3 linked regions of the Mus musculus genome follow. The protein of the gene in region 1 interacts with the protein of each later gene in a pairwise test. Links are inferred from orthologs where the notes say so. Each region holds a gene or a part of one and is shown in the gene's direction. Other genes may lie near its edges.

Region 1 (4,153 bases):
TTCTCAGTATCATTGTGGAGAACCAAGAGAGCCTCTAATTGTAACAATGTTCATGGTTGTGATTTTTTTTTAATAAAATTACAAATGTTTTTAAACTGTCAAAAAAAAAAAAAAAAGACCAGTACTTGACTAGACATTCTTTAAATGTTTTCTAACTCTCATAAGTTTAAAGCAATAATTTTATAGCCTTGGTTAGAAAACTTTTCTTACCTTTGTAAACTGCAAATGCTTAAAACATGAAATATGACTCATAGCTGTGCGTGGTGGCACACACCTTTATTCCCAGCACTCGGGAGGCAGAGGCAGGTGGATTTCTGAGTTCGAGACTAGCCTGGTCTACAGAGTGAGTTCCAGGACAGCCAGGGCTACACAGAGAAACTCTGTCTCGAAAATAAACAACAACAAAAAAAAGAAATATGACTCAGCCAAAATGCATGCCATACAGCATATTACTATTAAGTGCGTCAGATAATGAAAACTTTACCTTTGGTAGGTTTTAGATCTTCCTCCGACTTCTAGGCTGGCCGGGAACTCATTGTGTAGACCATGCTGTCTTTGAACACAGGATCTTCCTGCCTTAGCCTCTCAAGTGTTGAGGTAAAATCTATCTGTTGATTATTGTTTAATACAGATCTTTCTAACCTTCTTAGTGGGGTTTTCAGTCAGTCATATTTACTTAAAACCCCATTATATGTTAGGTAAATTAACCAAAATTTATTTTAATATCTAGCTAAACATTATCTTGCCAACAGATTGTTTAGCAGTCAACTAGCATATATTTCAATGAATTGAAGTTAAATTATATAGAAGCAAAATATTTGTATTTCAGTAAATAATTGTATAAATACAATTGGGTTTTTATAAGTTAGTATGTCAACCCTAAGTTTTTTAGAAAACTGGATTGCATTTATTTCACAACTTTCAGGTAGCTTCAATAGTTAATACTTTAAAAATGTATATGATGTTTCCTATCTGCTATAAGATGAAAGAATTCCCATAAGCACTATTGATTTGATCAGGGTTAGCTTGCCTTATATTGCTGCTAATAATTTCATTGAACATTGTTTCTTAGTAAAACTGTAAAACTTAGACATATTTTTGGCCAGAAATACACGGTGTATTTTGTGCTCTTGTCTCCCAGGGTATAACAAGAAGGCAGTGAGGGATGCGCATGAGAATGGGGACGTGGGGGCTGCAGGTGAGAGCCCTCTGGATGACACTGCTGCGAGAGCGGCTCATCTGCACAGCCTGCATCAGAAGAAGGCCTACTAACCCAGACACGCTGCTTGTCAGACTCGTGGAGTGTGGGGCACTAGAGAAGACGGTGACAAAGACTGCACAAGATCAGGGAGGCTGTGTGTTGCCTAGAGAAAGGCGGGAACCTCAGGGCTTCATGTGAACAATTCTAAGTGCATAAACCCCTGTTTTCTGTGGTATACCTTAATTAGCTATTGCATGGAAGGCAGTTTTGATTTTCCTGGAATCTAAGCACCAAAGCATGTGTTTCCCAAAGGGGTTTTACTAGGCTCTTACAGGCCAAGTGGATGCTATTTCATTTGGCTCCTTTTCATGTATAACAGGACAGTGCTAACTGGAATTCTCTAAGTACCCTTTAAATACAGCAGAGTAAATGATACCATATATTCCCTAAGGATAACTGCGGAATTTCAGATGACAGAACTTTACTCAGTGAATTGCAAAAATCTAGGTTGACATTTTTGCTTAATTGAAAATTTTGTTTCAGGTTTTTTTTAAAAAGTATCTTGTACATTCCTGATATCTAAATTAATTACTATCTTAAATCATTATGATGAGTTCACTCTCCAGGTAACTCAACTGCAGTACAAAACGGTTTTCTTTAGGCAATCCTGTATCAATCAATGCTGCTCTAGGAATAGTTTGGGAAAAGTTACTGTGCATTTGACTTTGGACTTTTAAAGGAAACGCAGACAAGTGGAAAATGGCCTGTTTTCAATTATGTTGATCTGTGTGCATGGTATTGGAGCATTACACTGTTAATGTTTAGTCCCAAATGTTAATTGTCTGGAATCCACGAAAAACAGCTTTATACATTTTTGAGCTGTTCCCAAGCTTTGTCTTGTGATAGTCAGGAACATTACTATGTCATGAAATACATTGTGTTCAAACAGCAGTTGGCTTTAAGTACCTGACTTGCCAGTCATTTAAAAAGCCGGGGGCCAAGGTAGGCAAGATGAGGTAAAGACATTTTGGTACAGTGAGCATATTGGTTTTTATATCAGTATATGTTTGACTAAAGCAATACTCGTGTGCAAACTCTGTAAATGTATTAGTTCTATTGTATCAGAACTAAGTACAGAGTGCCTGCTCCCTTCTTTCCTGACCTACAGACAATTGCACCCTGCCTGCCGGGCAAACTGAAAATACTGTACTTAAAGAGGTGTGATTTTTGCTAAGTCACTGTTTTAAAGGATTTACACCTAAGGGAATCTTATGTGGGAGAAGCCTACATATATCGGGCTTTTACAATATCAGTATCTTCTTTCTTGGTATGCTTGTTTTTCCCAGATGCATTATATATTTGTTCAAAGTTAAAATCTATAAAATGTATATACTTTATTTTGTGATTTTGCTATTTATAAATTTTCTTTTTAACTGTTGCTCATTTATGGTCTCTGGGTGGTTTCGTTCTTCATAGTATCACCATGTTAACTGGTAACTGAAAGTGCACTTCGTATGTATATTGTTAGTGATGCTGAGATACCTTGTAGTGTAACATTGCCTGTAAACAAGGTTAGTATTTTAACTGTACAAATGAATAAACACGTTACATATTACTGTTTGCTCCTGATAGGCTAGACCTCTTAAAAGAAAGATTGTTTTTTCCTCAAGTATTCCTCCCACACCAAACACATACCCCAGTGCATGACTTGAGACCTTCAAAGTAGGTGGTAGCCATTGTATTCATTTAAGGAAAAAATGTTCATGGTAACAGATCTGAAATATTTTTGCTTTGACCTGAAACCATGCTGCTCCTATATCCTTTCAGCATTGCCTGGGAAGGACCAGGGCCATTTTATTTTCCTTTTTATTCATAGATTATATGCCTTATATACTATGATTGAATCGCTAGGAAATGTAAGCTATATAACCCTTTGAATTTTTTCAAGAACTTCACAGCAGATGTGAAAGCAAAACTTGGATGAGCATTTTCATGTGCTGCCTAGGAGGGATTGTGTGAGATGGGTACAGAATATATTTAGAAAGAGTAGTTTATGGTTCTACAGGTCCGTCTTTCCATCTCTGCTTTCTGGTTTGGAAGCATAGGAGAGTGCTGTGGCGTGAAACCTGCTCTGAGAGCATCCTGGTACTCTCCCAGGCCCACTGGAGAGTTCACTTCAGAGTGTGTGGTCCCAAAGCACTAAGTGAAAAGTAGTCTTTATAGTTCATGTTCATAGGAAAGATGCCCATATAACACTGACTCTTCTTGAACAAAGCCAAAAAATGGGGGGAAAGCTGTTGCAAAGCCATTACAATGAAAACGTGTAGAGCATGAGAGGTGTGTGCGTGGACATACTCACACTTATTGTGTGAAATTGTCTTCTGCAGTTTTCTGTTCTGAACATGATGAAAGTGACGTATTCGGGTTAGGGATTATTGTTAAATTAAATTTGAGAGAGATGAAGAGCTTGCAAGTCTGTTGATTAGAATTAAACAATTACAAATAACATAACCTGTCCATGGTGCTGGAATAGACCCCACAGCAAGGGGCTTATGTTGTTTTCATATTTTAAAACAAAAAATATATTAATTTACATATAAGGGGATTTATGATAATTGTATTATATCTAGTTGAGTTTCATATTCTTAATTAGCCTGTAAATAAAAATGACATATTCTACATTAAAGCAGTATTGATCAGATTTGAAGGAAAATAAATGTTTTCTCTTTCATTCACATTAAATATTTTGGTTTATTATGGGTTCTGAGTAGCTCCTGTGACTTGTATCATTGTGTCATGAAATACCCAAAGACTGAATCCAGCTGCTGGGGTAGAGTATCATAGATTGGGTAGGAATTGTTTAGGCTTAACTGTTTCATCTGAATTAGTTAGAAATCTGGTAGTTAGGAACTGTCAAAACAACTCTGGGATCGATAGTCTGTTTTAAACTTA
Region 2 (4,828 bases), on another chromosome or scaffold:
TTTGCTCCAAAACAGTTCAAGGCAACTTGGGGCACACCTCTCGGGCCCCAGTTATTTATTTATTTATTTATTTATTTATGTATTTTAAAAAACAACCCGATTTGCTTTTAAGACCTGGTTACTACTATTACATGCGTCATAACTGTGTAGCACAGAGGACTCCCGAATGTCTCACTGGCTAATTTCATCTTCAATACTACTTCTAAGCAAGTTAATTGGAAGGCCAAAATAAAATAAATTAAAAAAAGAAAAAAGAAAAAGAAAAAAAAAAAAACAAGCGCGCGCGCGCGCACACACACACACACACACACACACACACAACACACACACACACAAAAAGGGGAAGCAGTGGGCAGCCAGGCTCCGAGTGAAAAATGGGCAGGCCAGCCCCGCCTGGCGACGCCGCGCCGCACCCCGCCAAGACCCGGCCGCAGGGTGGCGCGGGTGCCCGGTGCGCCCAGGACGCCCGCTGTACCGGGCGGCGCCGCTGAGGGTGCGGACGACTGCGCACGGCCGCGCCCTCCCCGCGAGCAGCTCTGCGCGCCGGGCTCTCTGCCTCGCGGTGGCGCCGCACTGAGCCGCCCGTCTCGTCTTCAGGGCTGCGATTTTTTTTTTTTTTTTTTTTTTTTCCTTTTCTAAAACCCGGAGCCCAGGCCGGCGCGGCCGCTTTCGGGGCCCCGCCCCGCGCCCCTTCCTTTTGGTTGGGGATGGAGGGGAGGAGGTAGGGAGGCCAGGGCGCAGGCGGGAGCAGGCGAGGGAATCCCTCTCCCTCCACGTCACCCGAAGGCGAGGAAACCCGCATTCGCGTCCTCTAACGCAAATGACCATCTTTGGCAACGTGCGCCAATGGAACAGACCAAGGGCGCTGCGCCCCAGGGGGGGTGGAGGAGTTCGGCGAGAACGCGGGCGGCCTCGGCGCCCCCGTAGTGCGAGGGCCGCGCTCTCCCACCCTCCCCGCCTCCCGCCTTCCTCGCGCGGGGTCTGTGGCTGGCGTCAGCGCGACCGCGAGCGAGGCCGGGAGGGGAGCGCCCCGCCCGCCTTCTCCCCTCCCCTCCCGCGCCTCTTCCTCCTCCTCCTTGTCCCAGGCCTCCTCCCCCGCCGCCTCGAGCGCTCCTCCCAGCAAGGTGGAGTCTAAGGTTGACGTGAGTGGATCCACATGGTGCGGGGCTGGAGAATAAAGAGTGTGGAGTTGAACTCGTGCCATTGTAGTGACTCATCTCGGGCAGAGCGCAGGGGCTCGAAGCGAGACAGTGAGCGGCGCTCGGCAGGGACAGAGAGAGAGAAAGAGAGCGAGCGCAAGAAAGAGGGGGAGAGAGGGGAGGGCGAAGCGAGGCGAGAAGCGCGAGGCTTGGCAGGTCCTGGAGCCAGCACGGGGTGCAGGTCACTGCGACGCGGAGCCACGTCCCTCTCAGCACCGCTCAGCCTAGAATCCCACGGGCGCTGTCCCACCGGCGCGATCGGGGCCGCTGGACCGGCGCTCACCGCCTTGTCCTAAGTCAAGTGTCCGAGTCGCCGGGAAACTCAGGCGGCGAGTTGGCCACAGGAAGTTTATTCTCGGGCTCCTTTTCTAAAAGGAGGAAACAGAAGTTTCTCCCAACCGGCAGCTTTTCTTTTTCGCCTTTTTGGCGCCCTGAGAGATCGGGGAGGGAGTCCCCCAGAGCTGCCAAGCGACACCCGCGGGGCTCCTAGTCTTTTTGCGTTGCCCATTTTTCTCCAGCCCGTGGGTCCCGGCAGAGCTCCGGCTGCGCGCGGGGGCGGAAGGGCGCGCGCAGGGGAGGGACCGAGGGACGCGCCGACTTTTTAGAGGGAGGGACTCGGTGGACAACCGGTTCCGCGGAGCTTGCAGAGCAGAAACGAAGTGCGGTGCGCGGCGATCGGGGGGGTCACTTCCCGAGTGTCGCTGCCTCCTGTCTGCCTTGGTTAGGGGACATCCCGGGAGCGAAAAGCCCAGCCCGTGGCCGGGCCGGTGGACCAGCGAGCGCGCAGCAGACTGTGCGCGGCCGCGGCGAGGGCGGGGAAGAAAACCACCCTGTTTCCTCTCCGGCCCCCACCGCGGATCATGTACCAGGATTATCCCGGGAACTTTGACACCTCGTCCCGGGGCAGCAGCGGCTCTCCTGCGCACGCCGAGTCCTACTCCAGCGGTGGCGGCGGCCAGCAGGTACGTGCGGGCCGGGGTGCACCTGGCGGCGCGGGCAGACTCCTACCCTCTTCTTGCTCCCACTGCCTCCACCCCCAACCTCCTTCTTTTCCCTTTCCTAGCCAGGCTAGAAAAATACTTCACCGCTGTAAGTTGTGGGTTTCTTTTCTTTTCTTTTTCTTTTTTTTTTTCCTGTTCCGCCCTACCCACTCTCCACTTTTCTTTTTCTTTTTCTTTTCTTTTCTTTTCTTTTTTTTTAAGCAAGTGGAGAGTGGGCTTGAAGAGCCAACGACACCCTCTCCCCCTTTTCGTACTTAATTTTCCAGAAAAGCTCTTGAAATTACAGGTCCCCTCCGGGAAGCCTGTTGCCTCCTTCCGAGCCGCTCTCCCTCCCTTTTCACGTTCCTCTTTCTAGGTAGTGGATAGGCAAGAAAATTTTTGCGCCCCCTAAGCCCCTCCCAGCCGTCAAGGACCCTACGGGGGGGGGCGGGGGGGAAGGCTTTTTAACCCTTTCTTCTTCTGTTATTCTTCGGTCTTAGCTGTTTTCTGAAAGGGATTGGGGACTCAAAAACAAAGCTGGGCTCCTTCAAGTGTTTGGGAGTGAGGGCGAGGGTTGCCCCTGGGAATTAGGTGCGAAGGTCAGGAAGGAAGAAGCTGGCTTTGATTGGCTCTTGACACCTCCTGTGACACCCCCCCTCCAGCTTCCGGTAAGGGTTGGGCAGGAGCCTGTACTTCCCCCCCCCCCCAGCAGAACTTTGAGGGGCTTGGGGGTACCTGGGGCAAAGAAGCTGTCAGAGAGAAGTGGGAGAAAGAGACACATCGCTTGAGCTCCTGAGTGGATTTAGAAGTAGAAAAACATCTCTTTCTAAAGCAGCCAGACTGGTTTGCACTGAAGGATTGTGCCTGTAATCTGTGTCTTTGTAGGTACCAGACAGGTATTGGTGGGGCGGTAGGGGTGGTAGGGTACCTGGCCTGTGTCGCAGGAACCACAAACACCATCTTGTGAGGGAATTGCATGAACTCAAAAGGTCCTCTGCCACCTGAAGCCCACCTTGGCAAGCATCTGGGAGTTCCTAGCCAAGCTGGCTGCAGCCAGAGTTACTCCATAAGCCAATAGCCATGGCCTTGACTTTGACCTTTAGAAGTCAACCAGATAGGAGGTCAGGGGTCTTCCAGGGAAGGGTGGAGTGAGCTGGGAAATATAATAAAAATATGGCTTTCTTTGTAATCTGACAAGAGGGGCACCTCTCTCAAAGTAATGTTCCATATCTGGGGAGTCCTTCTAAATGACTTTTCTGTGTCTAGCTCCTCCCAAGCCCCATACCTACTAAGCACCCACTGTAGACAGCCTGGTCTGAGCATTGAGGGTCCAGTCAGTGGACCCTTTCTTACTACTGAACACCCAAATCATACCTGAGAAGTAGTCGCTTATGTTTGCATCCCAGTACATTTGGTGTTTTGGGTTGAACCCAAACATCACTCATCAATGGGTTTAGAGTCCTTTATACCTGTTGTCCCCTACTTTCCAATCCAATAACCCCACCCCATGTACCTCTCCTTTCCAACCAACATAGAAGCTTTGCGTTTCTGTTTCTTCCACTAATGAGACCAAGACAGTGAGCACTGACAGTACAATCTCCCTGCCTGGCTTTGCTCAGACTCTGGGGCCTGGATGGGAAGTCAGACCGGACATCAGTGCCCCAACTGAATAATCTGTGTCACTAGGGCTTTGAGCCCAGGATGTGAGCGGAGGCAATTCCCTGTTTTGGAAGCAAATCAGACAGGAAACCGATGCTCGGATGAAGGAAGAGAGCTCCGTCCAGCAGTGTGTAATAGGGCCTCATTACCCAAGCAAAAAGCAGCTGTTGGCTAATTCCTAGCATGCTGTAACACAGGAGGATTTTGCAATTAGCAGCAACCAGTGCATGCGATTCTCAGGTATAGCTGCCTATTCTGCTCAGCCTTATGAGCAAGAAGTCTTTCAAACCAGAGGGATTGGCAAGGTAATGCCACTTAAGCCAACTCTCAGCCTTGTCGGGGCGGTGGGTAGGAGACGAGGAACAGGGGGAAGGCTTCCCCCTCCCTGATCTGGCTGTCTATAAAACTGTTCTGTGGTCCCAGTGATAGGCCTCTGTTTTTGTTACTTCCCAAGTCTGTGCTGCTACCCCACCCCAATCTGGGCTCAAGGTAACTTTATTACATGCCAGATAAAGTCTGTAATCAGCTCTGCTCCCAGCCCTCTACATGGGGAAGCTTTCCTGGCAGTTAGTGACTGGGCCTTCCTCCTTTATGACTGCACGGTGGACCAATCCAATCAGTGGAACTTGTGAGAAGTTCCTGGTTTTCCTTGTGCAAGTGCATACTATTTTCCCCCTGTTCTCCTTGTTTGTGGGGTCCTGTATCCCCATAAATTTGCTGTCTGGCACTCCCCCCCCGACCCCCCCCCCCGCGACATCTAGCTTCATAAGGTCTTAATACTGCGTCTTAGTACTAAGTACCTAGTACTTCCCCACTGACCTGTGGGGTGGGAGGCAGACAGCTCTTTGTTAAGACCTCTGCTTGTGTCTATGGCAGGAACTCAAAACACGAAAACTATTTCCTGTTGTAGCTATAATCTCAATCTCAAAGGTTAATCAATCCCTGGCAATTTAATTTTTTTTGGAGCTAGGTGGATGCACCTCTTCCTCC
Region 3 (4,669 bases), on another chromosome or scaffold:
TTCAGGCAGAGGGAAGGTAGATGGATGCAGAGGCCTGGCTCAGGCTCCCTACCCAGAGAGAGAGAGAGAGCGCGCCTCAAGTGCATTCATGCTCAAGGTCTCCCTGTAGCAAACCTTCACATTAGCCATCATCAGTCAGGTTTTACCTGTGAGAATCAGGAGACTCAGGGAAAGTGACTGTCAGAGATTGGTGACAGATACCCAGCAAGAATATCTTAAGCCCCTTTCCCTCATCCTTTTTTCTCTCCTAAGAGAGGTTGGAGATTCCCTTTCATTCTAACAGAGTCCCAAGATTTGCTCTGTCCCAAAGGAGGCTGTATCTCCTATTTTGGAAGCGGGATGGGTTGCCATCAGAGGTTCTGTGGTGACCCCTAAGTCCTACCCTCAGTCGGAGTGGGCTCTGCTTTATTATTACCATCATTATCATTATTATTTATTTGTTTAAAGACTTATTTATTTATTATATGTAAGTTCACTGTAGCTGTCTTCAGACACTCCAGAAGAGGGCGTCAGATCTTGTTACAGATGGTTGTGAGCCACCATGTGGTTGCTGGGATTTGAACTCCGGACCTTCGGAAGAGCAGTCAGGTGCTCTTACTCACTGAGCCATCTCACCAGCCCTTATTTATGTTTTAATGTTGTTCCCCTTCCCAGTCCTCCCTCCAGGATCTCCCCAATCCCACCTCCCTCCCCTTCGCCTTTAAGAGGGAGCTCAACCACCCACCCACCCGTTGTTCCCTCCTCACCCTTCTAGTATCCTCCTTCTTGGCGCATCAAGCCTCCACAGGACCAAGTGCATCCCCTCCCAAATAACTCTTCTTTCAAAAGAAAAAACAAACACATTGTGTCAAACGAAATGCTCCTCAGAGTCAATGTGATGATGTTGCTTAGGTCTTATTTGGGAAGTTAAAGATGCAATCTTTAATTTTATTGTATTAAAAAGCAATTGAAGCCGGGCGGTGGTGGCGCACGTTTTTAATCCCGCACTTGGGAGGCAGAGGCAGGTGGATTTCTGAGTTCGAGGCCAGCCTGGTCTACAAAGTGAGTTCCAGGATAGCCAGGGCTACACAGAGAAGAAACCCTGTCTCGAAACAAACAAACAAACAAACAAACAAACAAACAAAGCAATTGAAAGAAGGGCTTTGCTTTAAGGGCCGGAGCCTGCGGAGGTGATGCGAGGTCGCGGAAGTGGCCAGATCAGCTGCACTCAGTCCTCTCCCCCAAGCTTGGGCTTGCTCTCCAACTCATCGCGTCATCTGCTGGGTATGTGGAGTTACTGCCTCAGGCCGCCAGAGGGCGTCTCAGATGGAGCAGGGGGCGGGAACCTGGGCTCCTCGCGAAGACTGCAGCCTCCACGGCTGAGAGGCAGAGAGCCGGGAATCCCGGGTGTCAGTATTCCAGGAGTGAGATGAACGCCCATGGTACAAGCGGTCCACCATGGCCCACGGATCCTTCCTTCCGTGCCAACGCCTTCCGAGGTCCACACGGAGAAGGCGGACCCCAGGACGCGTCTGGAGCAGGTGCCTAACCCTGGACCTCTAGGGCCTGGGCGGAGAAGAGGACAGCGGAGCGTACAGGCGCCTAAGAGGGGCGCAGGGGCCCCAAGGCAGTAACCACGCCCCTCTAAGACCCCGCCTCCATGCCCCGCCCATCCCGCCCCCTCCCTACTGTGGTGGGAAACCCGGGGCCCTCCACAGCCACCGAGTCCCGCCATGCACGTTGCGCGGCTCCTACCTCTGCTGCTCCTGTTGGGGCAGCAGCTCCGGGCTGCCAGTGTCACAGAGCCGACGCTACCCACCGTGGTCCTTGCCATCCTGGCCCGCAATGCTGAACACTCTCTGCCCCACTACCTGGGTGCGCTGGAGCGCCTGGACTACCCCCGGGCCAGGCTGGCCCTCTGGTGAGAGATCCAGGGGTGGGTGCATATGGGCATCAAGCCCCAGGACCCAGGAAGGCTTTTGACCTGGAGGCCTCATTACTTCTGCCCAGACACAACCCGAACAAGCTCCTCCCTCCCAGACAGCCCTTCAACAGTATTCCTAGACCCCGCGGGGCAAGAATAGACCTCTGAGGCCAGGGTTCAGCCCAGGGACACTCACCCCTCCTTTGGGCTCCCTACATGTCTCGGGCGTCCCCGGCTTCCCGGGTTTCCCCTGGGTTTCAGTTAGGCCTGTCCTTTCTGACCTAGCCCTTGGGGCTCGGCAGTACATCGCAGTAAAGACCTGTGGTCTGCCTGATGTGCGGTAGAACAGACTGAACCTCTGGAATCCCCTGGGGCCCAGCATAGAAAGGATCAGTCAGACTGGAGGTTTCTAGAGAGCAGGTGGAGGGAACCCTCAGCTCCAGGCGGCATGCTCGGGTGCCCTTCTGAGTGGTACTGCTAAGCTTCTCTGGGTAGAGAGAGGGGCTGGCTGGTTCTGATAGCCAAGGGTGTGGTCTCATGGGACGCTGGGATCAGAGGTTGCAGTACCCTGTCTAAAAAAGTCAAAACAGGGAGGAGCCTGAGCAGAGGCTGGAGATAGAGTACTCCTCACAGCACACCAAAGTTGGGCTGGGGTGGAGCTGTGGCCTGGGGAGGCTGCCCACAGCCACCACACTTGGGGAGTTAGTTAGTTCCCACCCCTGTAAGACTTGACACGTAGTTCTGGGGAATTGGCTTAAAGGAACAGCATCGCCTAAAACCTGGGCTCTTGGCTAAGCCTTCCACCTCCATTACTAGAGCCCCCTCCCCAGCAGAGGGAAAGCTGTGCTCCATGGTAACAGAACTTGGATCACCACTAACACTTCTCAGGGGTTGTCGGAGCATGGTGTGAGCCTAATTACAGCTGGGGGGAGTTAGGTAAGGAGAGAAAGGCAATGACTGTTTTGTCTGATTCTGAGCTGGAAAAGGCCTGATGTGTGGAGCCATGAAGAGGGACGGAAGTGAAGGGACGTGGCAGGTGCAATCTTTAAGCTCAAGGGACTTTTCAAGTGCACTCAGGCCGAGGATGGCTCAGGGGTCAGGGGCTTGCTTGATGTGTACAAGTCTCTGGGTTCAATTCCCACAGTACAATGCACAAAATTAGAAGGACAGACGTGAAGCACAGAGAGGCATGGACCTTGCCTGAGGCTACACAGGACATCCTCCAGCACCTCCACTGGAGCGCACAACTCTGCCCCATCGCTCTCAGGACAGTCATTCTGTGTTGTGCTCACAGGTGTGCCACAGATCACAACATGGACAACACCACAGGGATGCTCCGGGAATGGCTGGCTGCTGTGGGTCGGGACTATGCGACTGTCGTCTGGAAGCCTGAGGAGGAGGCCAGGTGGTTAACCGAGGGCAAGGGTACTGGAAGATGGTGAACAGCTATTCCCCAGGGCACAGCCCCCAGAGCACGCATGTCTATTCTATGCAGAGAACGAGAGGCCCCTCTCTCAAGAGAGCATTTCACCTTTCTCCACTTCAGGTCCTACCCAGATGAACAGGGTCCCAAGCACTGGACCAAAGAACGGCATCAGTTTTTGATGGAGCTGAGGCAGGAAGCACTGGCCTTTGCCAGGGACTGGGGAGCTGACTACATCCTGGTAAGAAAGCCTGGCTACAGAGTATGGGGGAGGCCTCAGGACCTGCTTCCAATAAAGTCTGGTTATAACCAAACTGTCTATAGGACAGATCTTCTGAAGACTGAGCTGAGACCCCTGTATTTAAGCTCACACTAGATACTAAGCCTGGCTCCTTGTACAGGTCTTAGGTTATATGCTGTTCCTAGATTCCTGAGCTTTTGTATGCCAAGAGTATAAACTGAGCCTGGATCCCTGGATTAGAGCTCAGAATAGAATTTTTTTCCAATATTTTTGTTATGTTTGCTCACTGGGTTTTCGAGACAGGGTTTCTCTGTGTAATCCCGACTGTCCTGGAACTCATGCTGTAGACCAGTCTGGCCTCAGAGATCCTCCTGCCTCTGCCTCCCAAGGGTTGGGATCCAAAGTGTGTGCCTCCACCACCTGATTTACTTTTGTTTTTCAAAGGTGGGTGTCTTGGTGCATGCAGCCCACAGAGGGCAGAAGGGGGCCTGGAAGCGAACTCCACTTAGTAGTGAGTCACCATTGGGTCAATGGGTTTCCAACTCAGGTGCTCTGCAAGAGCTACCAGTCCTTTTTTTTATTTTCGAGACAGGGTTTCTCTGTGTAGCTCTGGCTGTCCTGGAACTCACTCTATAGACCAGGCTGGCCTCGAACTCAGAAATCCGCCTGCCTCTGCCTCCCAAGTGCTGGGATTAAAGGCATGTGCCACCACCCCCCAGCACTCTTTTTTTTTTTTTTTTTTGGTTTTTTGGTTTTTTGAGACAAGATTCTTAGATCTGCTACTTGCTCTGCTCTAAGCCAGCATCTCAGAATGGCCCTTTGTCAGAAATGGTTAGCCCCTTCTCATATCTGTATCCTGTATCCTGTATCCTGTATTATGTATGTATGTATGTATGTATGCATGTATGTATATATAAGTGCACATGCCATGGTATGTGTGTGCATGTCAGAGGATGGCTTTCCAGAGTTGGTTCCTTCTACTGTGTGGGTCCCAGAGACTGGATTCTAGTTGTCAAGCTGGGCAGCAAGTGCCTTTACCTTTCTAGGCGCCTCTCTCTGGCCCTGGTTAGATCTCTGTGTGCTCAGAGCTACTCTGAAGAAA

Evidence for each region.
Region 2: the proteins of Gopc (region 1) and Fosl2 interact in a two-hybrid assay, tested with the Homo sapiens proteins (2 studies listed by BioGRID and IntAct). The two-hybrid records come from large-scale screens. The link is inferred for Mus musculus from reciprocal best matches to the Homo sapiens genes GOPC and FOSL2.
Region 3: the proteins of Gopc (region 1) and Cercam interact in a two-hybrid assay, tested with the Homo sapiens proteins (2 studies listed by BioGRID and IntAct). The two-hybrid records come from large-scale screens. The link is inferred for Mus musculus from reciprocal best matches to the Homo sapiens genes GOPC and CERCAM.

The regions. Positions count from the first base shown.
Region 1 is NC_000076.6:52,336,842-52,340,994, reverse strand, and holds the end of Gopc (Golgi-associated PDZ and coiled-coil motif-containing protein), read left to right. Parts: exon of another isoform or gene 1-116; intron 117-1,141; coding exon 1,142-1,272; 3' UTR 1,273-3,971; downstream 3,972-4,153.
Region 2 is NC_000071.6:32,134,645-32,139,472, forward strand, and holds the start of Fosl2 (fos-related antigen 2), read left to right. Parts: upstream 1-1,827; 5' UTR 1,828-2,059; coding exon 2,060-2,161; intron 2,162-4,828.
Region 3 is NC_000068.7:29,867,826-29,872,494, forward strand, and holds the start of Cercam (inactive glycosyltransferase 25 family member 3 precursor), read left to right. Parts: upstream 1-1,668; 5' UTR 1,669-1,712; coding exon 1,713-1,900; exon of another isoform or gene 1,901-2,586; intron 2,587-3,197; coding exon 3,198-3,308; intron 3,309-3,449; coding exon 3,450-3,567; intron 3,568-4,669. UniProt on the Homo sapiens protein: Probable cell adhesion protein involved in leukocyte transmigration across the blood-brain barrier. Does not express any beta-galactosyltransferase activity in vitro.